Linked DNA regions of Alligator mississippiensis. The protein of the gene in region 1 binds, or shares a complex with, the protein of each later gene. Links are inferred from orthologs where the notes say so. Each region holds a gene or a part of one and is shown in the gene's direction. Other genes may lie near its edges.

Region 1 (6,836 bases):
CCAACTTTTGGCCTTCGGGCCCCAGACTTTTGTCAAAGACTCAGCCTTCCCGGCCTTGCCCCGTTTATTCTGGATGCACCTTTCAGTCCAGGTCTAGTGCCCTGGGCCCCTACCTTGTGCACTCTGGGCCCTGGGCCCCTGCCAACTCTCACACTCTGGGCCACCCATCAGCCCTTTGAGTCCCCAAACCCAAGCTGCACTGCTCTCCCTCTGGTCTTGGCCCTCTCAGCCTTGGCCGACTCATTCAGCCCTTAGCTCTCTGGGTCCCTGACCACAGGCCAGGCTGCTTTCATTACCTGTGGCCTCACCCTCTCAGCCTTGACTTAACTCACTCAGCCTTTAGGCCTCTGGGTCCCTGACCCCAAGATAGGCTCCTTATTATTGGCCAGCCAATCCATGAAGCAAATGTATCTGACCATAACATTGGCTATTTTTCTCTGTAGGAAGAGATGCCACTATCTCCCCATTTTGGCTCCCCCATGTGTTCCCCGCCACAGACAGAAAAATTATTTTTGGCCCGTCAGATCTGCAGGGGGGCTTGTCACAAATAATAAGCAATCCCAATAAAACTCAGAGTCCCCCACCACTGCATCCCCCAGTTGGGAGAAGAACTACACTAGAGCCCAGCATGCTGCAACAAGGACTGTCCAACAAGGGGCCCTGATGTGATGGCCTGACTTTGCAGAGGGCTCTTGGCCCTGGATCTCCTTTGCCACAAGCAGAGGTTGGATCACTTTATTTGATGGACCCTGAAGTCATTCCAGGTGATGCCAAGTGCAGTCCTGGGCTCATATAAGGGGGTCTGCGATTGAGAGATACTCACCCTGGATCAGAGTGACAGGCGAGTAGGTCTAGCACCTCACCCTCCTGTCAGGGCTTCTCAATCAGGCACAGGATTAATCACCTACTTCTCAGGTGACAGTAATAGTGAAGGTGACATGTAGCAAGGAAGCAAACCATGTGACAGATTTTCAGTTGACAAAAACTGGATGGGTAAAATCAATTCTGCCTGTTTCCAGTATCCCTCCCTTGCAGAAACGTCAACTGCCTCATTTGGAAATGAAGAGTCACAGGGTGCTGTTTCACACGCTGCCATTCAAAACAGCTACAGAGACTCTAGAATCTAGATACTTGTTCAATAAGAAAGGTACGAGGACAGAGAGATCCCCTACATCACAGGCCAGGTGCTGCCACAGCTGGCTCAGCATCTCCAAGGTGTCAGAGACATTAGTGGAGACACATGGCAGCAGAAGGGCTTATTTTGCTGTTTGTGGCATCACATCCCTTCAGCAAGAGGTGCTCTGGCATCAGGGGTCCCCGTCCCTCAGCAGAGCTGTACCCAGAGACATCCAGCTCACAGGACTGGTCTGGTGTAGACTAAGCCTTGCACACACACCTTCATGGGCTCCTAGGCCAGTGGTTTTCAACCTTTTTTTCATTTGCAGATGCCTAAAATATTTTGAACGGACATGTGAACCACTTTGACCTGTACATGTGTGTATTCACATGTGGTTGATTGATCAGTCATTTTTTGTGTACCCCTTAGACCAGGCTCGTCCAACATACGGCCTGCGGGTCACCATGCGGCCCGCCAAGCCATTTTATCTGGCCCGCAGCGGCGGCAGCACTGCCACCACTGCTGCCACGGAGCGCAGAGCCGCAGTGGTGGAGCGCAGAGCTGCGGCGGCGGCGAAGCACAGAGCCGCCGCGTCGGGGCAGCAGCGAGGCGGGAAGGGCAGGGCAGGGCAGGGCCGGCCCGCAGGCCCCAGCCGGCAGTGAGGGGAGGGGAGCTGCTTACCCCCGCAGGGCCCAGCTCATCAGTGAGCCGGGTCCTGCTGCAGCTGCCCCGAGGGCTGCACGGAGTGGGGCTGCCCCAGCCGCGCCTGATTGGATGAGCTGGGGGTGGGCTCCGCCCCTTGCCCCCGGCATGTGGCCTGGGGAGCTGCAGCATGGTCCACACCCTGCCCGCATGCATGGCGGAAGGAGGCACGAGGTAAGTTCCTGCGCAGAGCTGGAGGCGCCTCAGGGCCAGGCTGGGGTGGACGGAGGAACAGAGTAAGTTCCTGCATGGAACTGGGGGCGCCTCGGGGCCGGGCTGGGGCGGACGGAGGCACGGGGTAAGTTCCCGCGTGGAACTGGGGGCGCCTCGGGGCCAGGCCAGGGCGGACGGAGGCACGGGGTAAGTTCCCATGCGGAGCACACCCATTTCATTGTTAATTCCTGCAACTTCATTGGTGTCAAAGGTCACGTGACATCACTTCCTGATGTGATGTCACTTCCTGTGAGGTCTTTGAATATGGCTCACTGGCCCACTGGATGATAAAATGTTCATGATCCGGCCCCACATTCAAAAAGGTTGGACACTCCTGCCTTAGACAGTCTGCCGCCCCCAAGGCATTTGCAGACCTCAGGTTGAAAACCACTGCCCTAGACCCAGACCATGGCGGCTGACAGCTGGTCACCATGTGCCAACATGCAGGGCTGCCAACTGTGTTTGAATCAATTCAGGTTTCTGGAACACCAGTGTGCCTGCGACACACAATGCAAACATGCCTGTGCGTTTGCGTTGATCAGTTATGGATTACAGCGCATAGACTTTACGCCAGAAACATCAGCAATGCGTAGGGCGTGCACACGGGTGCACGTGCATCCCCTGAGCGTGGCAGTGCACCCCCTGTGAAAAGCCTGCTGTTGGTCGCTGCTCGCCATCCCCCCACCCTCGCTGCTGACAACCAGCGGCATCTATGGGAGGTCTGCAATCGCTGCTGGCTGCTGCCGACGGTGTCTGCGGGTGGTTGAACACTGGTCGGCGTCTCCTGCTCCCTGCTGCTGACAACGCTGCGGCTGCCTGCGGGAGCTGCACACCCGCCTCTGCCACCCTCCTGCCGCCAACAGCGCCGCCGCTACCACCTGCAGGAGCTTGCCGTGCCCCCCAGCCTCCGCAGGGCACATCGTTCATGGTCAGGAAGGCAAATGCACTTTCCTCTTACATTTTAAAAACCCACTGGACTACTGCATATATCAGATTCAACATTTATTATTTATTCCTTTCTCTTGGCTCTATGGTGCAAGGTCAACTCTTGATTCAGTGCAGCATATTTGCTTCTAAGGTTTTCTTTCCCCGTCCTTGCCCCTTCCTAAATTTAAGTGCCCCACGTGATAGTATTTCCCGCCTTTTCCCTTGGGGAAATGACTTCACAAACTGCCCCATAGCATTTATCTCCTCGGGGGCTCTCAGCCGGCTCCTGGACCTGTGGTTCTCAACCTTTGTTGTACCAGGACCTGTTTGTAAACATCAACTTCAATGGCCCCTGTCCCTCCCTCCCCGCGGCCCCAGGCCCCAGCCCCCAGTCTGTGCGGTGGGGCAGGTGGCTGCAAGCACCGCCCCCCCCCCCAGCCTGGAGCTGTGCCCGCCTGCCAGGGGAAAGCCCCGGCTTCCCTTGTTTTTCTCCTTTAAAGGAGACTCCATTGTGAAAGTGTCACTTATTCATATATAAAATAATAGATATAATAAATAGATATAATAGAATAGTAGATGTTATAAATAGATATAATAATAGACTCTTGCGACCCACTTGGAGGCCATGCCCCACGGGGTGACTAATGAGCTAATTAATTAACTAGCTAATCCCTGGAGACTCCAGCGCACACCGAGAGGGTGAGCAGCGCACCGCGGAGCGAGATGAGCCGGAACTGGAGGGGAGGGGAAAGTGGAGGAGGACACTAGAGCTGGACCGGAAAGGAAGGGAAAGGAAAGCCGCTGCTCTGGATGGAGACGCTCTGTCGCGCGCGCTTCCTTTGCAGCTCTAGTGCTCTGGCGGACCGGGAGTTGCCTGCTCCGAGCGCGGCGGCGGCGCGCGTGCGCCATGGAGCCGGCGCCGTCCGCCTTCCGCGCGGGCCCGGACTTCTGCCCGGAGTGCGGCACGGTGCTGCCCCTGCCCGGCGTGCAGGACCGCGTCACCTGCGTGTGCTGCGACTTCGCCATCGCCGTGCGAGGTGGGCCGGGCCCGGGGCTGCTCGGCCCCTTCCCCCAACCTGTGTCGTGTCCCCCTCCCCCTCCCACCCCACAGTTGTTTAATGACCTTTCCCCCCTGCAGACTTTGAAGGCCGCCTGGTGCAGTCATCCGTGGAGTTTCACAGGCCCGGGGCCACGGCTGTGCCGGCGGGGGGCGATGGGCAGGAGGTGAAGGGCCCCGTGGTGAGTGGGGGTCTCTGCGGGCGGGCGGTGCGGCAGCGTCCTGCGGCGGGGAGTCCCGCAGGTTATCGCCCCGTGCGGAGGGGCCTCAGCGCGCCGGTGACGTCTGCCCCGTAACCCTGGGAGCCTGCCTCGGCTCTGGTGACCCTTTCAGATTGATGGCACCAGGAGGGGTGTGAGTTGAGACCTACCACCTCACTTATTGGCCTCCCTCAGGCAGGAAATCCCAGAAATTAAGAGCCAGAAGGGACCTCAAAAGAGCGAGTCTTACCGCCCCGGCGCCCCAGGCCCGTCGTGGTTCCCGTGGCCCCTCTCTGCGCCCGGTCAAGATTCTCCGCGTCCTGTTTGACGCGCGGTGCCCAGAACGGGGCCCAGGGCTCCAGCTGGGGGCTCGCCAGCACCGAGTAGAGAGGAAATACTACTTCTTCTCTAGTCGGGAAAGCTGACAATTGATTCCTTGGGATTTCAGATCGACCGGAAGTGCCCCCAGTGTGGCCACGAGGGCATGGTGTATCACACCCGGCAAATGAGGTCGGCAGACGAAGGGCAGACTGTGTTTTACACCTGTGCTGAGTGCAAGTAAGGAGCCATTCGTGGGTGTCTTTTATGGGAGGTGGGGGAAGGGAAGAGGAAAGGAAAGTTGCAGTCCGTGGAGTAGCAGCTTTGTCCTGGAGCAGCCTGGATTTTAGTTGTTTCATCAGTCAAAGCTGAGATTCAGATTTTCACCAGAAACCGTGGGCATTTTTACACACGTTGTGGGATGCAATGCTGGGTGCTTTAATTAGCAAGCCATGCTAATTAAAAGTGTCTGTGCATTGCATGTATCAACATCACCATGCATCGCTACTCTGAAAAAATGGCAGGGCGCTTTTAATGACAGCTTATCAAACGTGCTTTTATTCAGACCACTCAGCCACCATTTTTTCAGCATGGAGACATAGCGATGCTGATGCACGTGGCACGGGAGGCTGCTGGAGCACGTCGATTTTTGTGTTCCAGCAGACTCAGTGAACTAAGTCTGCTCTGACACGCTGGCTTTCCAGTGCATTGGAGCAGGCTCCACATGTCTGTATAGGAGCCCTGTGACATTTCAGTGAAAGAATTTCGAGGCCAAATTTAATAATATCTTCTCATTGTGTAAACAGCAAGATATTTATTCTCTCTTTGAAGGTTTTTTGGTGACCAGTGAACATCACTGGTCACCTAGAACTTGCGTTCTCAACCTTTTTTGTACCAGGACCCATTTTTAAACATTGATGCCCAGTCCCCCAGTGTGTGGGGCACGGAGTGAGTGGGTGTGGGGCACGGGGGGGCCCCAGGCAGCCTCTTGCAGGCTGGAACTCTGCCAGCTTGCAAGGGAAAAGCCATAGTTCCCCACGTTTTGCTCCTTCAAAGGAGAATCCATTTTAAAAGTTTGTTTACAACCCTTTCATATATTCATGTGACCCACTTTTGGGTCACGACCCATGGGTTGAGAAATGCCGACCTAGAAGACAGCATTTCTTACCCTTTTGAAAGTTGAATTTGGAATGAGGCAAATGGTCCAAAGCAAGCCCACAGTGGAGACACCTTAATTTAGCCTTCTGCTCCCTTCCTCCCCATTCCAGCCAGAGGTTTGCATTCCCTGCTTTTCCCCACTGGGAAATAGTGGGTTCATGGCACAGTCCTTCTCCTCCTCTTCCTCCTCCTCCTCTTTCTTCCATGCTTTGGGAATGGTGGACATAATTACCATAGAATGATCTGTCATTGGCATCTGAGATTGAACCCACCAAGATGAAGGGAGGCAGTTCGTATCTGAATGCGACATCTGAGCTGACTGGCACAGCGTCTCTGCAGACTGGCGGGATCACTGCTTCCTATGTACTTTCTCAGCTACAGTGAATAATCAAGAGACCAGTTTGCCACCCCACCTGCAGATTCTTTAAGCCTCTGTGGGGAGATTTGCACCAGTCCTAAAAATTTTGCCTTCAGAGCAACCAAGGACCAACCTATCAAGGACAAGATGGGCCTCAAAGGCTGCGTCCATGCATGATGTGGACGTTTGTCTCCCCAGGAACAACTAGCAGGGGCACAACTAGCAGCAGCAGCACGCCTTGCACCACTGCTAGTTGTCCCCAAGGAATGCCTGTGTTGTGTCGCGAGTTACCTAGGGGTGGTAGGGGAGGCTGGGGCCTGCATTGGGCTGTCCCCAGCAGTCTTTCCTGGGGGCCTCCGAGGACTGCAGGAACAGTGATTCTGGCCGGCAGCTGCAGCGTGGCTCCGGGCAGCCCATCTCCACTTCTAAGCGAAGTGCACTACCCCTGCGTGCACTGCTCTACCTTTTTGCTCCGCAGATTTTTTTGACTCATGGTCAAAAAAACCCTCCACACTGCTCCCTTGCAGTGCGGAGAACAATTAAACGTGCCGTATGTGGCATGCAGATGTCTGCAGTGCCACCTACCACACAGCCGCTTTCATCTGGGCATAGCCAAAGGGTTTATCTGCTCAGCACAGGACAGTGCTGCACTGAGGGGCAGAACTTACTGATGCACTTACAAGTGCCACCCTAATAATCTGTTTCTGCACCATGGAGAAAATGCACCACGTAGACGAGACCTCACATATTTTATCTATCAATAAATTGAAGCTAACAAAGGGGGTT
Region 2 (6,829 bases), on another chromosome or scaffold:
CTGCCTGGCAACTGACTCCCCAGCCCAGCCCAGCCCCTGGCCTCTTTACTTTTCATTCCATCCACGAAGAGCACACACCAAGTGCTGACACTTCCTTAGCCTGACGAAGGGTTTTTGAACTTGAAAGCTTGCTTAATAACTATTCTCCAACCATTTGGATTGGTCTAATAAAAGATATCAAATTCACCCAAGGAACCTTGTCTGCCTATTTAAAACTATGTTTTTCAGACAATCTAGCCATAGGGTACAAGCACAAACCGTTGTCATAATTTAAAAGCTGCCTTGTAGTTTAGTTTAGGAAACTGAATCCAGTAAAAATAGTTTTAATAGTCAACACGATATTTTAAAGAGTTTGCAGCAAAGAAAGGTAATCTTCAAAGGAGTTGACTAATTAGGGTCCATAAAAAATGTTTGCCTCATAGTTGACAAAAAATTAATAGCTTCCTTGGTTATTTTGAAATGTAGGACTTTTATAAAGCTTGCATTCTGTAATTTAGTACTGAATAGGCAAGAACCTTTACATTCAAAGATACCCGTTTTCAACTTCTATGCAAGTATTTTAGACATTCTGTGGAGGCACCGAGAAATTGATTCAGAATGACCAATAAGGCTGTAAGTTCAACTATGTTTGACGTCTTCCAGTGAGGTCCCGTGACCTTTGACACCAATGAAGTTGCAGGAAGTGACAATGAAATGGGTCTGGAAATGTGGTTTAAAATCTAAAATAAAAACGATATAAAAGCAAGAATGAAATAATACCAAACACATGACTAAAATAAACACTTTCGCTTCTACTCACTTCTCAGTGAATGAAAGAAGCATAATGCACGTCAACAGATCAAATGTGGAAAAAATATCAGTCAGACCTGGTGCCATGCCCGGGTTGACATGGTTCCTGCAGGACCCGCCTAGGCAGAACTGGGTCGGCACCGACCAGGAAAAGCAGCATGCAGCTGAAGCCGGCTTCCCACGTGCTGCTGGAGACAGGAGGAGGCCGGCCAGGTCTGCGGTGGAGCCATGTGCCGCTCGGGACTGACCGGTGCAGGCTCGTCCCGTCTCGAGTGGCATGTGGCTCCGCCACCGCTTCTCCTGGCTGGTGCAGACCCAGCCAGGCTCCTCCGGTCCCCAGCAGCACATGAGAAGCAGCCCCCTCGGGGCCTCGCGCATGGGCGGCCGGGCCTGGAGAGCCGCAGCACCGGGGGGAAGTCTGGCCAGGGGAGCAGGCACCGCCTTGCTGTGAGGCAGGGCAGGGTAGCGGGGCTGGCTTGGAGCGGGCGGGTGAGGAGGCAGGCATGGGCCAGCAGTGCCACCGGCCGCTGCTTGGCCTCCTGCGTGGGGCAGTCCCGCGGCACTGGTTGCGGCCGCCTGGATGGGCACCGGCTTGTCGGGGCGGGTGGGCGGGCGGGGCCGCTCAGCAGCCGCAGCCTGCACCGCCCCCGGCCAGGGAGGGGTCCAGTCCCTGCAAAGGATGCCCCCGGCCGTGCCATGCTGACCCAGTGCGTGTGGGAAACTTGTCCCTTCCCTAGCCCTTCAGTAGCCATTAGGAAGCTGCTGAGGGGCTGGGGGAGGGACAAGGGGTGGGAACAAAAGTAAACCATGTTTACTTTAGTTTCCTGTCGCGGTACCACGGGCCGCAGAACATGCCTTGGTGGGCTGCATGGCGGCCCGCGGGCTGTATGTTGGACAAGCCTGTGCTAGTGGGACAGGCTCATGACTGAAATCACTTCTTTTATCAGTGTCAGTGTAGTGACATTGCAAACTTTGCCCCACTGCCCTTACAATTCCTTATGTGTGATCCTTCTAGAAGGACCAAAGGTCAAGCTGTTAGGTGTCTTTCTGACAGCTACCCATGGCAGAACGCACAGAATCATGTTTAGAACATGGTTGCTCCCAACCTAATTGCAGAACGATTCCATTTTTCAGTAAAGACAAACCCTAAAACAAAGCGAAGAGAAACCCATGGGAAACACAGTTAAGGAACTCAGTTTGATTCTGTCTACAAGATGCTGTAAAATCAGCAATCAACCATATTGTAACCATTTCCTTGCAATACAGTAGTTCATCCATTCCAGGGGCGGGCACTTATTTCAGGCGGAGGGCCGCTTACTGAGTATTGGCAAGCTACTGAGGGCCGTATGACAGGCAGCTAGGGGCAAATAAATATTAATTTTCTAAATTTTTTAGGGGCCCCGCAGGCAGGATAGAATGGCCTGGCAGGCCGCATCCAGGCCACAGGCCACATTTTGCCCACCCTGATCTGTTCAATCTTTTTAACTTTGCTGCAAATAGTCATTACTTCAACTTGTTCTTTTTATGTGGACATTTATCCACCAGAAAATGAACTGAGAGCGCTAACTTTTGTCAGACCACTTCTAATGACTGCATGTTCTGTACTTTCTTTCAAAACAGACTGCCCTATACCTGCTGAAGTGTAGTAACCAAAGATATAATGGACTGAAGAACAAAGCCTATGGCACAATCTAGCAAATTGCTAGAGCTATTTTAGGTGAATTACCTGGAGAATAAGAGTATTATTTGTTCTTTTGGGTTTAAAGGAAATGAACAGCTAGCTTGCCTCTCCAGCAAGCGTACTCAATGATATTTCATCATAAATAGCGGTGTGTTTTTTAAATACTGAAAGTGGGAAAGGCACCAGAGTCGCATGGCTTTATACTGGTTGCCAGAATGCTGTAGTATGCCTGCCATGCCTACTCCAGGCAGAAGGCAGGGCAGAGAGAAACCTTATAGACTAAGTCAGAGATGCATTCACTTTTGTAATCAACAGCTCACTTTATCAGATGCTACAAAAGGACTGGCAGGGAGCAAGGGTTCATCTAGAAAGTGTGCTGTAAGTACAAAGTGACGCGTAGATCTACCAGACCTACACGTCAAAGAGCTGCTCAGCACAGCTCACAGACCCTGTCATGGACCCGGAGGGACAGCCGTGTGACTTCAGCTCCCTCTGTGCAAAAACGAAGTCTATTTCCTACCCATGGGGACTTTTTACCATCTTGTATCGTCTGTACTGTTCCCAGAGCCTAATGAAGGGACTTTGATCCTGAAAGCTTGCAGAAAAAGGACAATTTTCTTGCGATTTCCCACTTGGTCTAATAAAAAGTCTCATTTTGGAACCAAGAGATCTAGTTTTTGTGTATGTCTTACGTACAACATTATTTTGTTACAACTTATTACCCCTACAGAGGTCATTTCAGGCCATTAGCTGTCCTTACCTATAATGTAGCGTCTGGATTGCCACAAACATGTTTCCTGGTGGATCTCAAATCTTTTCAGTCCTGGCAGGATGTGATTTTGCTCAATAATGGAAACTGCGGTTCTATTATCATGACTTTTTTTTTTTAAATTTAATTTAGGCACAGTAGTTTTGGAGCGTTGTGGTCCGAGATCCCCTTTTCCCTTTGGACGGAAGGTCCCCAAAGCCCCCCCCTGCGGACGGGATGCTTCACATTGCTACCCTGGGCCCCGGGAACCGCCCCGGGCCCGGGCCCGGGCCCAGCTCCCTGGCACTGAGGCTCGGACACGGGGCGGGGGAAGGAGCCGGGCGGTGCAGACCAGGGGGCGAGGGGGTCCCGGACACTTCTGAGGAAAAAACCGGGGGGGGGGGGGAGGGGAGAGGAGGAGAAGACACGTCACCTCCCCCAGCGCCTTGGGCGTGGCCAAGATCCCCGCCCCTAGTCCTCCGAGGGGCAGCGAGAGGGGAAACCAGAACGGCCGCATGGCCAACGTGCCAGCCACCTTAGACTAGTAGTGTGGGCGTGCGTCACTTCCGGGGGGCTCAGTGCTCGTTTCCGGCCCGCAGGCGGAGGCATGGCGGGGCCCGGCCGCGCGGCTGGCGGCGAGGAGCGGGGCGGGCCCGGCGGCCGGGGGCGCTGAGGCGGGAGGGGGTGACGGTGTCTTTACCGCCCCCCCAGCAGTGGGCTGCACGCGAGGCGGCCGGTCTGACCGTTGCGGCCATGGAGGGAGGCGCGTTCCTCGGCTCCCCGCTCAGGAAAACGGTCCGGTTCGGCGGGACCTTGAGGGACGTCCTGCTGAAGCACGAGCAGGTGACGGCGCCTGGGCTTGTCTCGGGGGTGATGAAAAGCTGCTTCTTGCTCCCTCCCCCATCGGCCTCGGTCCCGGGGGTGCTGGTGGGCTGCTTCCTCGGGCTTCTCTGAGGAAACGTAGGGGATGGGTGGGCAGAAGGGAGAAGCACCAGCCAGACTTTAGTAGTAGAGCAGGGGAGAGAGAAGCTGCGACTCTTGCTGCCACTTTATGGCTTTTCTGGCTTTTGCCAGGGGTCTTCCAAGCTGTCCTTAGTAACAGAAGAGGAAGCTTGTGTTTCAGATGGGTTAGGTAGCGGGGCCCGAGCTGTGCTCCGGGATCGCAGGAAACCGAATGTGCCTCTGTTTTCTTTCCCCTTCACACTCACTCTAGGGAGAAACTGCTGACTTTGAGTTGTTAAAGCATCAGCTGTCAGATCCAGATATAAAGGTGAGACATTTTTGCAATGGGGGATTCTGATAGTTGTGGTTGTTTCATGGGAGTACATTTAATTATGAGGCAGAGTGTGGCCATTGTGTTTTAAACATGATTTTAAACCCCCCTCAAATAGATTTCTTGGTGCTTGATCAGGTTTCAGGGAGGGTTTCTTATCTTTCAGATATCTTTGCTCTGTGTTAACTTTGCAGTGACAGAAGTCTTGTCAGTTTCCAGATCAGCTACACCTTTGATCCCTCCTCGCCTCTTTGAGAGCGCTCCACTTGGAGTCAGACCGTTATTACATTTCTTCAGGTGGCAGCTTATGTTCCATTCCTTCCAGACCACAGAGTGTTAGGCTGCGTTTCCATGGCAATTCCCTGATAATTCTAAACTAATCCTTTCAGTTCAGCACCTGCTCCAGACTTGGGAGTGATCCTATTCTACCTATTCCAAGTGTAATCCTGTTGGACCTTGTTCAAGTCTCTGAAGAAGTGTTTACTTGCTTACTTTTGTACATGCCATCATCTTAGTCGTATGACTAAGTTGCAGAAAATCGGTAAGAGACAAGATCTGTCCATTTTTTGCAGTAACTGTTTTGCAGAGGCTTGAGAAGGTTGGAAGAGGATCACAGGTGTGCGCCCACGTCTATTTAAGGAGAATGGTTGGAATAAGATCTGTCAGGCTTTTTTCTTTCGGGCAAAGGACTTTAGGAACAACTAATTGACAGTTGGAGCACAACGTTGCTTCCTTGTAGAGAACGGATAGGTGATACATCCAAGGGTTCCTTGTGCCCAGCGGCTGGGAGGACCAGGACTAGATTTAGGACTACAAGGAGTGTCTAGAGTACTACGTAGTTCCCCTACTTAGCTATTACGTTCAGTGTGATAAATCCACTCATCTTGGATTTTGAAAGAGAACTGTGTTCAGCAACTATGGGTGGATTTGCAATTTCTGCCTTTCTCCACTCTGGTATTGGTGTGCCTTGTGCAGGAGGAAGGGTGCTGGGTGACATTCCTAACATGCTGGTGTAGAAACTGCTTCCCTAATCATAATTCTCATGTTTATTTGGGTTTTAAAGGTTTTTATATTAATGCAATTGCTCTATTTTATTGTCTGCTTATATAAGGATGCCCAGATCATTAACTGGTTGCATGAATTCCGTGCTTCTGTTGTATACTTGACAAAAGATGTGGAGGAGCTGGTCAGCATTTTGTTGGTAAGTAGCCACTCATAATATATAGAAATAAATGTTTAATCTCAAAATGTCTGTATATTTCACATCATTGTTCTAACTGCCTGCAGAAGCTGCCATGGTTGAAAAGAAGCCAGGATGTGGTGGAGGAATATTTAGATTTTCTGGGTAACCTGGTATCAGCACAAAGTATCTATCTTAGACCCTGCCTCCGCATGGTTGTCTCACATTTTGTACCTTGTAAGTTTGTAATTCGTTTTATTCTAAATGGGATAATTCACACTCTTTTTACTAAAATAACTTGGAGTAAGAGAATTTGTATAAGGTCAAATTTTGTAAGAAATTTATAAGAAATTAGCTTAAAACTAGATAACAGCATGTACAATTTTTCTGGCTTCTTGAGTAGAAGAAAACTTCTTTTCTTGTTTTGATGTATTGTAGATATTGTGGGTTTTCACCAGGTAGTTCTGGTGAAAATATTGTTCTGAAGATGCTTTAACTTGTGGCTGTCATCTCTATGCTTTTTATAGTTATGCACTAATAGTTCTCTTTCCTAACAGCTCAAGTAATCGTAAGGGAAGATGGTGTGGATTTTTCAGATTCTGATGATGATGAAGAAAGTGAGTACTCAAGCAGCATGGTTTGCTATTTGTATTGCTTCCTTTATGCAGAACTTTTCATTGCTGCTGTAATGTAATTGTATTGGTACAAAATCTGCATGAACCCATGCATGCTGAAGAGTAGGAGGACCCCATGTACTTGAATGCACATTACTCCTATTGAAATTAAGTGCATCATCACCTGACCTTGGCTACTTCCAAATCCTTTGAGGTGAATGCTTGGGAAATTTGACTTTCTATTCAAAGCTTTAGTGTCATGATATGGAATTACATTTGTTAATTTTATTCGGGTAGATTTGGGTTTTTTTCAGTATCATAAGTCTTTTACTGAATAGTATTGATATAAAGGTTGAAGACAACTTTTAGCAATATTTTAGAATCATAGAATCACAGAAAATTAGGGTTGGAAGGGACCTCAAGAGGTCATCTAGTCCAGCCTCCTGCTCAAATCATCACCATCCCCAATTACATCATTCCAGCCAGGGCTTTGTTGAGCTGGGCCGTAAAACCCTCCAAAGACAGATTCCGCCACCTCTCTAGT
Region 3 (7,953 bases), on another chromosome or scaffold:
AGTTGATAGTGAGTAGGCTTAACAAGCTTAGCATAATAAAGTAGTTCAAGTTTCCAGATCTCAGACATAGGTTTTGCATTAAATACATAAAAAAAATTAGGATAAGATGTGATTGCTATCAGAGAAAACATGCTGACAATACCAATCTGATACCCACTGCCATCATCTCTGTCAATGTCCAACACAGTGGAAAGCTGAAATGCCAATTACTGAGGTTTGCTATTAAAGTTTTGAAGCTGGCCTACATATCCTATACAAGGAGGTGGTATTCCTGCCAACAGCGACTGACAGCAAGCGATGCTGTGAATTGTTTTACACCCCAGTCCTGTAAACACGTATGTATGTACCTATGAGTAAGTTTCTCCACCTGACTAGCTTCAGCAAACATAGGGGTTCTGCTCACAGTTATTGATGTGCATAAGTGTTTGCAGGCTCACAGCCTTGGACACCTGAGTTTTGTTTCTGATGCTGTAACTCCGTTCAAATGGATAGACCCTTGCATCCTCAACAAGCTCCTAGAAGAAGCAGCTGAACTCCGCTTCAGTGCAGGACACCAGCTGCACAAATCAGGTCACAGCAGCAGGGCTTTTGATTACAACTTTGGGGGAATAATACAGCCTTTGGGCAACTTGATTTGTGTACAAATGGATGTTTCATAACTGGTAGCGTAGGCCAGTCTGGACTGATCAGCTGAGAATCATATGTTGGGTACAAAATGTATTGCTGTTAGTATTTATATTATGAGAGAACTGGAGACCCAAGCTTAGCATAGGTAGCTATTGGGCTATGTACCACATAAATGCCCCCAAAAGCTCATGTTCCCAATAGAGAAAAGCCCAAGCAAGAATGGGGCACAGGGCTTGGAAGGAGGAAATGGAACAGAAGTGACTTGCTCAGGTCTGCACAGGAGGGAAAGTGGCAATCAGAAGAAGGACATGGACACTGCACTGCAACTAGAGTCAGGACACCCATTAGGACATGTTGCTTTCATTCACCAAAACCTTTTAAGAAGAGTGGAAACATTTCACAGACTGCAGTTATGCCAATATCCATGCTATTCCAGTGGCCAGAAACATCAAATCTACTCAAAACAAAGGCACGAGTACAAAAGGTAGAGTGTCTTGCACTTTGCCATGTGTCAGCTTTTCTGAACCTTTTTTTTCCTCAAAGGTTACACACAAGAAAAGAGATTTGTATCTGAAGCTGTCGACAATTCTTTCAAGGCAGGGACCAACTTTGTGTTGCTTGTACAGCAGTGAGTACACTGGGGCCTGGAACTGCTAGGTATTATTGTAGTAGTATACAAAACATTTTATATATTAATGAATTTTGTAAATAGTGAATATTTAATAGCAGTAATTGATAAGTTTTACTACTACTATTAGAATTATTAATATCTGCCCATCAGTGTAGATTCATCCCTTGGTCTTCCCCATAACGACAGCCCTGACACTCATAAAGAGCTTCACATTCTCAAAGCAGTGCATGAATGTTAATTAATTTATATGAGGAGGGAAGAGTTTGTATTCCCCTGAAGGAAGAAACATTGTCTCAGTAATCAGGTACCAAGTACTGGTAATTTACTCCTCTCTATAGGTGACTGTAATGTAAGGATGGGGACATGGGCAGTCTTGTGGAGGGTGGGGTCAGCCAAGTACCTGAGCCAGTAGAATCCAGATCCACAGTCTAGGCCAAGGGAGTCAAAAGCAGATAATCAAAGTCACATTTCTAATCCCAAATTATATCCATGTTCATAGTCCAAGTCAGGCCAAAGGTCAGGAACTGGAGAGTCCAAACAGAGGACAGGATAGGTTAATATGAATGCTCCAAGCTAGAGCAAGGCTGAGTTATTACAGTGTGGAACATACTGAGTAGGCTAAGGCCTGGGTTTTTATACTCAGCCTAGCTGGCTCTGCAACCAGTCAGCTTGTCGCTTGCACCTGATGCTGCTCTGCAGCTAGGTGAGACTATTTATACAGCAATCTGCCCTCTAACTGTAACCAGGAAGAGGATAATGACACTAAGGAGTTTCTAGGGTGATGTCACTTAAGAACTAGGTCTTAGCCCCACTCTCACCCAGACTCTGGCACCAGTGGATTTATACACGATGTGTAAATAAAAAAAAAAGGCTTTGGTCCTCATCTGTTCATGAGCTCTGTACTGGTAGATCCTTAATACCAGCATGAAGCTCAATGGAGGTGGGGGGATTTGGGTATGGCTGCTCTAATTCTAGCCCTGGTGGTCCCTGATGGAATTGTTACACATTATACATGGGCTACACAGCTCTATTCACCCCATTTCATACCTGACAGCACAATGGTTGAAATGAGTGCAAAAATGCAAATTAAATGCAAAGAGCTTTATAAGTAGTGGGGGCTATAATGGCATATTCATGCACCACCTTTACTTGTGGCCCTCCATCACAAAACCTCTATAAAGTAAGCACCGCTGAAAGGAAGCTGCATCTGGAGTGGAGTATAATAGCCAAACTGATCACAATAGCCAAACACTGTTATGCAGCAGCAGCAACAGGAGGAAAATTTTGACCGAGGATATTGTGGGGAATCCCAGAGCTTTACTGAAATGTCTCAGCAATTGGCTGGCATTCCTTTTGCTAGCAAAAATTGTACTCTCACATTTTCAGGCCTGCCATGCTCTGATGCAAATCTGGTAGTTAGAGATGCATTTTTCTAGAAGTGGGCTAGACTTTTCCATCAGAACATTTTTTGTTGCTATAAAATGTTAATTTGTTGAAAGCTGTTTGCAAAAAAAAAAAAAAAAGAGTCCCTTTTTCTGAACTAAGAATAAAAAACCCACACCAAAAAATAACAAACCAAACCAAATCCATGTAGTAAATATGTCTACATTGTCAAAATGAGATATTTTTCCAAGCAAAACAGTTAATCTTTTTTCTGGTTTGAAATGATGTTAATGTAGCTATTTTAATTAATATAGATTTTTTTAAAAAGATTTAAAGATGAAAATACTGAAACTTATGAACTGACACAATTTGAGTTATTTTCCAGATTAATCATTTAAAAATATCTTCCAAAATTTGACTTTCCATCACACATTGGGACAAGAAAATACTTTGAAATCTCTTGTGGGATAGGCAAACCACTTCTCACCAACCTCTAATATCTATTAAAATGTGCACTTGCAACCTTTAATTATAGGCCTTAAAAAATACAGGCCCATTTGCCTGTACGTGAATTGCTTGGATTAAAAAAAAAAATGATCTGGCCTTTTCTATGCAAACTGCACAAACCTTCAATTTGTAAGGCTTAATCCAAGAGGATTGCTATTTTTTTTCCACCAAAACAGAGTAGCTCCTGGGTGAGCCACCATTTAGCACACCTCAACAGCACAACATGAGAGCAGGAAATGAAACATTCAGGAATCCTATGACAAGTATATAATTCCAAGGGGTTGTGGGGGGAGGGGGGGGTCTCTCTAAAAGCATGGTTTCCTAACATCCTGGGTAGGATTGATTCTAAAATAGGTTCTCCCTAGTCACTAGCTCTTTAAATTAATCATCATAAATGGACAAAACAGTAGTACATTTAGCAGGACCATCTGATACACCGTTCCATTTTCCATATATAATGTGTGTGTACTTATGTAAATAAAATATATATAAAACCGTGTGTGCATAAATCTGTGTGCATATACATATGTGTGTGTACACGCACACACTATCCTCTCTATATAAAGATCCCTCGTGGCTGATGCATATCCAATGCAACAGGACACAACAGCAATTGCAGGAGAGAAGAATCCTTGCACTGGTAAAGAAACGGAAGCCATGCACCCCCTCCTCTCAATCTGCGGATTTTAGATTAGGTCGTCGTTCCGTCCTCCCCCCCCCCCCCAACAGCTCATAACACCTAATTGCATTTTTTTTGTCTGTAGGAGCGGTTTGCTTATTGGGATTGCCATTAATTTGACAGGCAGAGCTCAGGCAGGGGATTGGCTAGCAGCAGATGACGCCCATAACAACAAAGGTGGAGTTGGAGAAATTACATTAAAAAAATTAAGAGAGAGAGAGAGAGAAGGAGAGAGGAAAAAAAGGAGAGGAAAACTCTCCCCTTCCCCGCCCCTCTGGCTGTGAAATGTACCAGTGTGTCAATTTCACGGTCTCGTTAAGAAAGCCCAGTGTGCCACGCAGCCCGGAGACGAGTGTGATCGCACTTCAGTCTGTACGTGCATTTCCTGGTGCAAGAGACACACAACAAAACTCCCCCTTATTTTTTTTTTGTCTTCTTCCCTGTGCGCTTGTTTACAAGGCAGCCACTTGCAGTGTAAGTTCTGCTTCTCCCCGTGCGCTGGTGCCAGAGCTTGGCCCGGGCCTCGGAACTTCGCAGGGAAAACCCGAATGCTCTCTTCTTTCCGTGCTAGGTGGGACTTGGAAAAAAACCCAAACCTTTTTATCTTTTTATGCTTTTTTTCCGGCCATGCATTTGAAATTAAAGCGAAGGGGACTGTTGGTGGCTCATGTGCCTGCTGCCAACGCCAGAAGAGGACTGTTGGAAGTGTCAGAAGAGGATTGTTGCTAATGTAAGATTTTTTTTTCCTCCTGTCTCTCTCTCTCTCTCTGCCTCGCTCTCTCTCTCTCCCTTTTCCCTCCTCCTTTCTTTTGGCTGGTGTTGCAAAAGCAAAGAGCAATAAAAAACACACACACACACACGCACATAGAGAGAGGCAGAGACACAGAGAGCCCCGTTAAGAGCCAGAAGAGAGAGTTTAAAAGAAGAGAGGAGAAGCCTGTCCCTAACAATCCCGCTTAGGGAGCAGATGGAAAAGTGGAGACTTGTGAAGGGCTGTGAGGTTGGCTAAGGATCCAGGAGCGAAAAGAGCCCGGCTGATTGGAAGAAAAAAGCAGAGAGATGGAGGCGGGGGAAGTGCAATCTCTCTGCGGGGACTGGAGCGAGTCCACGCCCGGGGCCAGCGCTGCAGAGCTGGCCAGCATTCAACCAGCGCTCCCCAGCTAAAGCACCCAAAAAGGCAGCCCCCGAGCCCCTGCTCCAGCCCGGGTGGTTTGCAGGTACGTGCCGTGGAGAAGCCAAGCCCCCTCCGACCTCCAGCAGCCAACGCGCCCGATGCAGCCCCCCGTTGCAAGGGAGGGTGGGTGGGAGAGAAGGATCAGGGGGAGGGGGGAGAAGGCACGATCCGAAGCGACGCTTGCTGCACCGGGCTGCTTTGCTGCAGCAGGAGCGCATGTGGAGCTCGCCATTACCCGCCGCTCTGGTTCGCCATCTGGGGCTGGAGGAGGCGCTTTGTTTCCTCCCCGGCGGGCTCCGGCGGCTGCTGCTCTCTCCAGCTCGCAGCCGCTGCTCGGTAAGGCGGGGACCGGGGCCGGCTGCAAGCGGGGGGACCGGGGCTGCGGCCGCGCGGGGGATCGAGCCGGATCCCCGCGCGCTGCGCGGCCCGGCGGGGAGGATCGGATCTGATCGGATCAGGTCGGATCGCCGTGGAGGTGGCGGCGATCGCGGCCGGACCCTGCGGCGGGAAATGGAGCGGGAGCAGGGGCCGGGCGGGGGAGCGGGAGCCGCGGCGGCAGCAGCAGCAGCAGGCGCCCAGCGCCGCAGCCCGGCGGTGCCTCCGCCTGCGGGGGGCCCGGCGCCGCACGGGGGCTCGGCGAGGGGGGAGAGCGCGAGGGCGAGGCGGCTGCTCGGCCTCCGCGCTGCCCCCTCCCTCCCTCCGCCCGCCTTCCCCGGCGGCTGCAGCTGGCTGTCGGGGGCAGGCTTCCAGCGCTGGGCGGTCGGTTGTTTTTCCCGAGCCTGCTAGTTCCGCGCCGGAGCTGCTGAGGTCGCCATCCCCGCCCGCCCGCCCGGCTCCTCGCCGCCGCCATCCGGAGGTGCGTGCCCGGGCGCGTCCCTGCCCTGCCCTGGCTGCGGCGCTGGGGTGGGGGGGGGCCGCGGCGCCGCTCCCCGGGGCCGGCGCGGGGAGGACGCGCTGCCCGGCCCCGAGCGGGGCCGCGGCGGCTCATAGCCCGGGCGGGGCCGCGGCGGGGCTCCGGCGCCTCGGCCGCGCCAGCCATTGTTCGCCCGCGCGGCGCGGCGCGAGTCCCGGCCCCAGCCCGGAGCCGCGGCGGCCCCATTGTCCCCGGCCGGGCCGCGGGAGGGCGCGGGGGAGGCGGCCCCGCGCCGCTGTCTCCGGCGGGCACCGAGCCGCGCGGCTGAGGCGGCGCCTGTCCCCGCTGGCGGCCGGGGGAGGGAGCGGGCGAGGCGGGAGCGGGGAGCCAGCAGGGGCGGGCGGGAGGAGAGAGAGAGAGAGAGAGAGAGAGAGGGAGGGCGGGAGGGAAGGGGCCGCCCGCAGCCGGCGCCGAGGCGGCGGAGTCAGCTCAGCTCGGCGCAGCGCAGCCCTGCCCTGCCCTGCTGAGCCGCGCCCGCCCGCCCGCAGCTGCCGCGCGCCCTGCGGTGAGAGCCGGGGCCGGGCGGAGCGGGGGCCGCAGCTCCCCGGGGGCGGGCGCGGAGCGGAGCGGGGGGCGCTGCCGGAGCTGCGGCGGAGGCCGGGCGCGGCGCGGCGCGGAGAGGAGGCCGCCTCGTCGGCCCGCAGGGGGTGGGGGAGGGCGGCGCAGCTGCCGGAGCCGTCGGTCCCAGCCGGGTGCTGCTGCCTGGAAGAGGAGGAGGAGACTGGCGCCGGCCGCAACTGCATTTGGGCAGGGGCTGCGCAGGGCATGTGGGGATCCGGCCCGCCCGCGGCCCTGCCCCCTCCCCCGGCCCGCGGGGATCCCTCCTCCCGCCCCCCCGCCGTGCCGCCCCCCCGCGCCGCGGTCCCTCCCCCGCCGCGCGGGACCCCCCCGCGGGCCCGCCCCCCCGCCCGGGATCCCGCCCCCCCGCGCGCGCCTCCCTTGGCTCCCCCCTGCCGGCCCGGCCCGGCCCCGCAACGGCGCTGCAGGCCCTACCTGCTGCTGCATGGGGGCGCCCCGCCGCCCCCCACCCCGCCGGCCTGGCCCCGGGGCAGGGGCGGGACCCCGCGGGCGCTCAGGTGTGCCCGGCCGAGACTGGGGGCGGGGGAGGAGCCTGGGGGGGGTGCCTCCCAGGAGGTGGCTTTTCCTACCTCCTGGCGTGGCTGGGCTCTTCCACTGCTCTCCCTCGGGGGCTACCGCCTCGACCCGGCCCCCGGGAGCCACCCTCCACTCACTCACCAGCAGGTGAAGGGGTGCTGTGCGCTCCAGCTCTTCCCTTTTGACTGGGAAAGGCTTCCTCTTGGAGTTGGGCAAGGGGTTTCAGTTCCCTTGACTATGCCTCTTCCAAGCAGAGGGGCTTTTTGCAAGCCATTTATAGCTCGGGTTTCCCTTTGCCTTTTAGAGTGAAGCTTACTTGATTTAAGGTAGACTCGGAAGGAGCCAGGAGGCCCAGAAGGGACTGCCCTTGGGTCAGACAGGTGGAGAATGAACGGAGAAGCGGAGTGCCCTACGGACTTGGAAATGACAGCTCCCAAAAATCAAGGTGAGAGTAGCCCCGCTGCCCAAGGATGCCTGGCTCTCCCCCAGCTATGCAAGGGACCCGGGTGCTGAGATCCCTTTACACCTCCCTTCCAGCTGTCTCTGGAAGACTCGCCCAGTTTTGTGCCCGTGAGCAGTTCCAGTTGGACGCTCCCGTGTGTGAAATCAAGCACTTGCATAACCGCCTGGGGGAAGGGGCTGCGAGAGCAGCGTCACCCATTCCTAGCATGCTTAGAAATTAGCAGGACACCTTCAGTTTGGGTTTAAGAGCCTGCCCAGTACGTTGACCAGATCCTGTTACGGATTTGGTCTTTACACCATTCTTTCTCCTAGCCCTTTCACGGGAATGCTGGAAAACATTGTTTCATGCTTCATATTGGCCCCTGAAAGCAAGTGATAAACCTAATAATATGCCACCCCACACTCGTTTGGTCGAGCTGCAGACATGGCAACAAGCCTGGCTGAATCAAACGGCCAGTGAGATGCTTTTAAAAAAAAAAAAG
Region 4 (7,773 bases), on another chromosome or scaffold:
ACTACATACTGAATTATAATGCATAGTTCACATTTTGTAGGGTTCTGTACACATCATTTGTAGTAAAAGTATATTTGGGCCTGAGAATGAGAGAGCAATTGGTATTTTTTCACCATAGTTTAAATGGCTGCAGATATGGTAAACATTTACGTTGTTGAAAAATGAACTTTTTTATAACAAAACCAATCGTGGCACTGAAAACACATAATTATTTCTTTGTATCTTTGTTTTAATGAATATAGGAGCATATAGTAAGACCTACAAGAAAAAAGTATTTACCTTAAGCTCTATCAGGCCTAGAATATACACTCTTGAACTTCTGAAAATAAAAAAAAGTTCAGGCAAAGGAGACCACTCCTCTCTGGGTTAAAATTCTCTGGTCATGTGACAATGTCTGAGTCATCTGATTGTTTTCCTCAGGATATGTAGATTAGTTCAGGTAGTTAAATATGTAGCAGAATTGCTGCTTTGGTGTTTGTTTGTTTTTTAATTAAATACTTACAAAAAAATTGTGCAAGTTTACGTTCAATAAAGGCTTTTCTCTTCTCTTTCCAAAATGAATAATGTTAGTGGCCCAGTGTTCACTGCTTTCTTGATCTCTCTCTGTGTTTTATCTTCAGTGGGCCCCATGCTGTTAGGAATAACAATACAAAGACTGCTGGTACTGGCATGCTTGCCCCATTGCTGGGGACTGGTTTGGCCCCTGTAGCAGGCAAACTGAGTTATGCTCAGACTCTTAGCATAACTTTAGGCCTTTCTAGAACTAATTAATTAAATTACAGAGTGCTTACAGAGTGACTGGGAAAAGTGAGTGCTGTGATTGGTACGGTGGGCTAACCAGGTACAGTTTCCCTATAAGGAATGTGCTTGGCACAGTGCCAGTGGAATGATTGGCGCACACACCCAGCAGAGGATCTTAAGTCAGTACCCCCGAAGGTTGCTGTTGTAATGTCTAAAGAAACTGCTTACCAAGTCGTATTAGAGGGAGGAAACTTGTAATAAATAATTACACCTATGACTTAGTGGGGCTAACAGAGACCTGGTGGGATTCATCCCATGACTGGGCGGTACATATTGAGGGCTATAGATTGTACAGAAAGGACAGGTCGGGGAAGAAAGGGGGGGGGGGTTGCACTTTATGTCAGTGAGCAATATACATCAACCCTCATCAAGACAGAATCTGAGGTTGAGGAAGTAGAAGGATTGTGGGTTAGGCTACATGGGGGGCAGGGAGAAAGGGATTTGGTGGTAGGGGTCTGCTACAGACCCCCACACCAAGGGGAAGAAATAGATGCGGGGCTCCTGAGGCAACTCTCAGAGACCATAAAAGCTAAAGAGGCAGTAGTCATGGGGGACCTAAACTACCCGGACATCTAATGGGAGACGCAGACAGCAAGGTCCCATCGCTCACGCAGGTTTCTAACCTGTATACAGGACCTCCACCTGACACAGGAGGTGCATGGTCCCACTAGGGGGAATGCCATACTGGATCTGGTATTGGCAACAGGGGATGACATGATAGGGGACCTCCAGATCGGTAGCCATTTGGGAGACAGTGATCACCTAATAATAGAATTCAACATAAGACGGCGAGTGGGTAAGGTAACTAGTAGGGTGAAAGTGCTAGACTTTAGGAAAGCTGATCTCAATGCACTCAGGCAATTAGTCAAGGAAGCACTGCAGAGTAGGAGTTTTGAAGTGATGGGAGCCCAAGAAGGGTGGCTGTGCCTTAAGGAAACGATCCTTCAGGCACAAAGCAAGACGATCCCCGAGCAAGGCAAAAGAGGGAAAGGGGCCAGGAGGCTTCCCTGGCTGACCACAGAAATCCAGGGCAGCCTAAGGGCCAAAAGGGGAGCACATAAAAAGTGGAAACAGGGTGAGATCACTAAAGATGAATATACCTCCTCTGCTCGTGCTTGTAGGGAGGCAGTTAGGCGGGCCAAAGCTACCATGGAGCTGAGGATGGCAACCCAAGTAAAAGACAACAAGAAATTGTTTTATAGATATATTGGGAGTAAAAGGAAGGCCCAGGGAGGAATAGGACCCCTGCTAAATGGGCAGAAACAATTGGTGATGGACAGGGGGGACAAGGCTGAACTCCTCAACGAGTTCTTTGCCTCAGTGTTCCTAAGTGAGGGGCACAACAAGTCTCTCACTGGGGTTGTAGAGAGGCAGCAGCAAGGCGCCAGACTTCCATACGTAGATCCTGAGGTGGTGCAGAGTCATTTGGAAGAACTGGATGCCTTTAAATCGGCAGGCCCGGATGGGCTCCATCCGAGGGTGCTGAAGGCACTGGCCGACATCATTGCAGAGCCACTGGCAGGAATATTCGAACGTTCATGGCGCACGGGCCAAGTCCCAGAGGACTGGAAAAGGGCTAATGTGGTCCCCATTTTCAAAAAGGGGAGGAAGGAGGACCCGGGCAACTATAGGCCAGTCAGTCTCACCTCCATCCTTGGTAAAGTCTTTGAAAAAATTATCAAGGCTCACATTTGTGAGAGCCCGGCAGGGCAAATTATGCTGAGGGGAAACCAGCACGGGTTTGTGGCGGGCAGATCGTGCCTGACCAATCTAGTCTCTTTCTATGACCAGGTTACGAAACGCCTGGACACAGGAGGAGGGGTGGATGTCGTATACTTAGACTTCAGGAAGGCCTTCGATACGGTATCCCACCCCATACTGGTGAACAAGTATTCACCAAGGCGCCCCAGGGGGTTACAAGAAACAATGGCCACAAGCTAGCAGAGAGCAGATTTAGATTGGACATTAGGAAGAACTTCTTCACAGTTCGAGTGGCCAAGGTCTGGAACGGGCTCCCAAGGGAGGTGGTGCTCTCCCCTACCCTGGGGGTCTTCAAGAGGAGGTTAGATGAGTATCTAGCTGGGGTCATCTAGACCCAGCACTCTTTCCTGCTTATGCAGGGGGTCGGACTCGATGATCTACTGAGGTCCCTTCCGACCCTAACATCTATGAATCTATGAATAGAGATTGCTATTGAAGTTCACTAGACACCACGTCGGATGAGCTGCTGCGTTAATCCTTGGAGGGCTCTGACAAAAAGAATCCTAGGGTTATCATCCCCCAAGACTGGTTCCTAACCTTTTTAGAGTCAAGGCACCCTTTCTTAGACTCAAAGCACCCCTCAGAAAATGTCAGCTCTTAGTTTTCACTGTTTTTTCCACCAGAGGGATATAATAAGCAACTTTTCTGTTGCGGTGAATTCAGAAAGCCCACAACAGGTCAGGATGTATTTAACACTATGGATTCCTATTTGAAATCTCTGGATTTATCTTGTGAATCATATTTGCACATTTCACAGCGCTAACACACAGTGGCAGCCTTGAAAAGATCTCAAGGCAGCCAAGGCACCATTGTTGAGCATCACCAGTCTATAGCGTGGCGCTTGCAATCACACCACAGGTGCTTTCTCTATGACTTTGCTGTAAAAGGTACTTAGGTGCTCATTTGGGTTGGGGATTTATTCATACAAATTCTATGAATGCAGATTTTCCTACACGCATCGGTTCCACTGTATTCTTTTTTCCACTCAGAAACTGTATCTCGCTAAATTAATGGAGAAGCCCTGTAGAAGGGCACTTTGCATCCAAATGCTGGTCTAACATCTTTTTGAACTATACAGTTAGTCCAATAAAACGTATCACCAAAAAACTTTGTTTCTCACATATTTCCTATACCAGCAAGTCTATAACACTCCAACTCTACTACTAAATTATGGGGAATTTCTAACTACACTGCTATTTCCCCATTTCTGTGGCCTAAACCAATCCTTCTATATAAACTAGAATGCCTGTGTTAGTATGCTTATAAAATTAATGTTATTGTACTGTATAGGACCCAGGAAAGAGAACTGAGATACTCAACTCCTTAGCTCAATTTTTTCCTTTTGAACAATTAAAGGTTCAGTCTTGGTTAAATGCACAGTGATCTTTGCTTTTAATATTGAAAGCTTGGTAAATCCTCTAGTGCAGGGATTCCCAGACTGTGGTATGTATGTGTAGCCTGGGGTAGGGGGGATATGGAGAAATTGTGTAATGGCAGATTTAATTTTCATTATAATTGGCATTTAAGGGGTTAAAATATAAAACATGCTGGTACAGCTATGCAGGCAGCTGGTAAATCTGGAAGCGGGGGCACAATAAGAAAAAGTTTGCAACCCCCCCACTGTAGTAGGAACACTACTATAACAATGGCATGGGCACAACTGGTACCAAATAATGAACCCCCACAGTAGTAATGGCTTATTTACAGCTTACTTCAAGGCAGTACAATAAAATGAACAATACAGTTGATATATAACAATAACATGTATATAATTTGCTAAAAACATACAGTGAAAGTAATAATTCTACCAGTTTACTGCAGAACCCCATACACCAAAAAAGCTCAGGAGCCAGCCCCTCCATCAGTGATCTGTGGGCTGGAAAGGACCTCAAGAGTCTTCTAGTTACTCTCTTCCCCCGCCCCCAAATAACTTGCACTTGTTGATTCGCATTAAATAACACGCGTGGGGGCTCTTTCTGGTTGCATTCTGGACCTTTAGGGCGCTCTTGTTTCCTGCGCCAAGCCTTTCTCCACACCCCGGAGTACTACAACCTGACTTTAAAATCGAATTGAAGGAAGGAAGCCGAGGCTCTCAGAAGCGGGGCCGCAGAAAGGCCTGGCTGTCACGAGCCGCGGGACCCGGGCGGGCTGCTCGGAGAAGCAGACAGCGGGGCGCCGGAGCCCTCCGCAAGCACGCGGCCGCGCGGGGACCGGGCAGGCGCGGCGGTGGCTCCTCCCCGGCAGCGGCCGGAAGCTGCCGTGAGGCCTCATTCATCGCTGTCAGGACGGGGCAGCGGCGGAGGTAGGGCATGGGCTGTCTCCCCTCCTTGGCGGCAGGCGCCTGCTGCGCTCTGGCCCTTCCGCGTCCCCGCTGCAGCGGTGGCGCCGCCCGAGGCCTCCCGCCTCCCCCTCCCCGCGCGTGGGGCTGCCAGGGCAGGACTGGCTCGTCCCTGCCCCGCGCCGCCGCGTGCTCAGAGGCACCGCCGGGAAGGCCCAGGGGGTGGGGAAGGGGGCGCCTTTGAGGAGGATGTGACCGAAGGTTGGTCTTGGAGATGGCGCCTGCCCCCGGCCAGCGGAGGGTTGTTCGGGGGAGGGGGCCCTGTTGGCACCTTGTTGTCCTGTAACGTCCTGGGTTTTTGGTCTATTGGCGGCCCTTCCCAGCTGCTCTGTACTCTTACTCCAGCTCTGTGTGTAGTTAAATGTTCCCTGGGGTGGGAGGGTCAACCTTTTGGCAGGCCTGCCATGCAGCCTCCCCAGGTTGCCACTCTGATCCCCCTCCTCTGCTCTGCTTTCTGTTCCAGGCTATGCTCCCTTGTTCTGCTGCCCTGCTTCCTTCCCTCTGCTCACTGCATGAGTTGTTGCTTTGCTTTCTGCTCCCTGCCCTATCTGCTGTGCCTGGCACACAGAGGCTGCCCATGCCACTTGTGGCACCTGTGCCACGGGTTGGCCACCCCTGCTTTAGAGAGTGGTGTTTCTGTGTTCACGTATCTTCTGTATGCTAGGGTATCGCTGCCTGCATTCCCTCAGAGTATCGGGGTGTCAGAGTGGTAGACTGGAAACGTGGATCCCCACACTGGTGATGATGCATGATTGTATTGTGAGAAAAGCTTCAGTATAGCTATAGGTTAGATTGCAGTGGCAAAACCTGGCCTACAACAATATTGCCTGTGGTTTGTGACCTGCTTGTTTGACCCAGGTATGTTATGTTTGCAGGTGTTTTGCTTTTTAGCAATATTTGTATAGGTGCATTGTGGAAAGGGAGAAGAGCTTTTGCCTTGTGCTTCAGCAGGGAGTAAGCATCCGGAGGAGAGGTACACAGAGCAGCATTATCGCTGCGAGATGCCTAAGGTTGTCCTGCTCCGTGATAGACAAAAACCCAACCAAACAGCAATTTGAGCCAGTTACAAAAAAATAGCTTCACGCTAGCCTGGATTTCATACAGGATTGGAAAACTGGCAGCAAACCATGTTCTGGTTTCTAATTGGGTAGAAATGGTGATAGACACGTTTGGCTCCCATGATGCATGTGTGCATGATCTGAAATGTGGAGTAGGAAGGGTCTAGATTCCCTGTACAGAAAATAAGGTTATGCTGTCTGTTTTCTCCCCTTTTTTTTTTTTTTTGATAAACCAGGTTTCTTACATTTGGCTTTTTAGTGACAGAGGATGGATTCTCAAAAGGATGTTCAGCCACCAAAGCAGCAGCCAATGATTTATATCTGTGGAGGTAAGAGTGAAAACAAATGTTTCAGTAATATCTGATGCACATAAGAACAGTCCCTTACTGGTTGAAAAAAGTTAACATTCTCTGAATAGTTTTCTATTTACCAGGATCATTTTGGGAAGTGGTGGTGCATCCCCCAGAGGGAACATGCATTTCCCCAAGGGCAAACAGCAGTGGCAGGGGAACACCTGCAAGTGTGGGGCGTGTGGTGTCTGTGGCACTGCATACTGTACAGCTGCACTCGTCTGGATGCATCTGTTTAGTTCTCTTGATGCAAGGCACAAGATTGCACATTTTGGTCTTCTTGTTAAGTGTTTATAATAATCTGTTTATAGGGAATAGGTGTTGGCATAAAAGATGGCTTTATAAGGATTGCTGTAAGGCTAAAGATTAATTGAAGCCTTGAAGAAATACATGTCCAAAAAGAATAAATTTAGTTTCCAACAGATGAAGAAGATTAAAATAATTTATTATTAAATTATTATTATTACATTTATTATTAAAAACCCTAATAGAAAGAAGAAATAATATCAAATGAGGCTATGGGAGGACTTTGTAACTGCAGGGAATAATAATAATAATAGCCACTTTTTTGGAAAGTTATAGCCAAGGGGTTATAACTATAACAATTGAGTTTAATTCCTGATGCTTATCTTTCTGAACGTATGTGAACATCACTTGTATTAAAAAAAATAAGTTCAACAATTTAACTTGCAGTTGATGAGGAAAGTGATGGTTACCTGGTGAATACAAGCAGATTATTAACTGGACTCTGAGGCTGCTTGCAGGCATTAAAGAAATACAAAAAAAATCAATGTTTTACTTTGAACTCCTCATGTCCCTACACCAAGCTCGGTGCATGTCCAGAAGAGGTAACGCGTTAGTTGGACCTAGCTCGCCCAGTGTCTTTATAGATTGGGTGCTTTAGTGGGGGGGGTTTGGCACTGTTGTCTAATAGCTGATTGAATGTTAGATAAAAACGCCAGAAAGACCTGATGAAGCACCCAGTCTATATCCATGCTGCAGAGCTGGGATGAAGTAATGTGCTGCTACTTCTGCATGCTTTGTTTTGTTTTTGTCTTTTTTTAAAACATCTGCAAGCAGCCTGAATGCCAAGTAAAATTATAGTAATGAGTAATGGAAAGGGCCCCAGTCTTAATCCCCCCCCCCCAGAAATTGCCAAGGAATTCTGACAAAAAACGTAATAGTATTATTTTAGGAAGTATTGGAATGAAACTATAATAGTTCTAACTTTTAAAAATGGTGATGAGAGAGATCCTATAGTATATCATCCTGTTAATTTTATGTATATTCCAGCAAAAATATTTAGACAGTGTTATTTTTTCACCCCACCTACAGAGGTGGGGCAGGGGCAGGAAGCAGAAGCTAGAGAAGTAATGGGAGACTGGAGATCCCACCCCAGCAGCAGCTGGAGTGTTGGGTTGTGGGGGAAGTGTCCAGGTTGGAGTCTGCAGGCAGCCAGGTGGGC

Evidence for each region.
Region 2: POLR1H (region 1) and RRN3 share a complex: the UniProt entries of both Homo sapiens proteins name them as parts of the pol I pre-initiation complex. The link is inferred for Alligator mississippiensis from reciprocal best matches to the Homo sapiens genes POLR1H and RRN3.
Region 3: POLR1H (region 1) and UBTF share a complex: the UniProt entries of both Homo sapiens proteins name them as parts of the pol I pre-initiation complex. The link is inferred for Alligator mississippiensis from reciprocal best matches to the Homo sapiens genes POLR1H and UBTF.
Region 4: POLR1H (region 1) and POLR2K share a complex: the UniProt entries of both Homo sapiens proteins name them as parts of the pol I pre-initiation complex. The link is inferred for Alligator mississippiensis from reciprocal best matches to the Homo sapiens genes POLR1H and POLR2K.

What each region holds. Positions count from the first base shown.
Region 1 is NC_081834.1:54,008,899-54,015,734, reverse strand, and holds the start of POLR1H (DNA-directed RNA polymerase I subunit RPA12), read left to right. Parts: upstream 1-3,823; 5' UTR 3,824-3,866; coding exon 3,867-3,996; intron 3,997-4,097; coding exon 4,098-4,198; intron 4,199-4,664; coding exon 4,665-4,774; intron 4,775-6,836. UniProt on the Homo sapiens protein: Core component of RNA polymerase I (Pol I), a DNA-dependent RNA polymerase which synthesizes ribosomal RNA precursors using the four ribonucleoside triphosphates as substrates. Can mediate Pol I proofreading of the nascent RNA transcript.
Region 2 is NC_081836.1:42,573,638-42,580,466, forward strand, and holds the start of RRN3 (RNA polymerase I-specific transcription initiation factor RRN3), read left to right. Parts: upstream 1-3,815; 5' UTR 3,816-3,971; coding exon 3,972-4,061; intron 4,062-4,431; coding exon 4,432-4,488; intron 4,489-5,602; coding exon 5,603-5,692; intron 5,693-5,778; coding exon 5,779-5,908; intron 5,909-6,228; coding exon 6,229-6,288; intron 6,289-6,829. UniProt on the Homo sapiens protein: Required for efficient transcription initiation by RNA polymerase I (Pol I). Required for the formation of the competent pre-initiation complex (PIC).
Region 3 is NC_081827.1:159,407,643-159,415,595, forward strand, and holds the start of UBTF (nucleolar transcription factor 1), read left to right. Parts: upstream 1-4,953; 5' UTR 4,954-5,044; intron 5,045-5,247; exon of another isoform or gene 5,248-5,337; intron 5,338-5,767; exon of another isoform or gene 5,768-5,857; intron 5,858-6,335; exon of another isoform or gene 6,336-6,419; intron 6,420-7,313; 5' UTR 7,314-7,396; coding exon 7,397-7,454; intron 7,455-7,953. UniProt on the Homo sapiens protein: Recognizes the ribosomal RNA gene promoter and activates transcription mediated by RNA polymerase I (Pol I) through cooperative interactions with the transcription factor SL1/TIF-IB complex.
Region 4 is NC_081826.1:38,817,563-38,825,335, reverse strand, and holds the start of POLR2K (DNA-directed RNA polymerases I, II, and III subunit RPABC4), read left to right. Parts: upstream 1-4,762; 5' UTR 4,763-4,864; intron 4,865-5,000; exon of another isoform or gene 5,001-5,101; intron 5,102-6,194; 5' UTR 6,195-6,226; coding exon 6,227-6,287; intron 6,288-7,773. UniProt on the Homo sapiens protein: DNA-dependent RNA polymerase catalyzes the transcription of DNA into RNA using the four ribonucleoside triphosphates as substrates.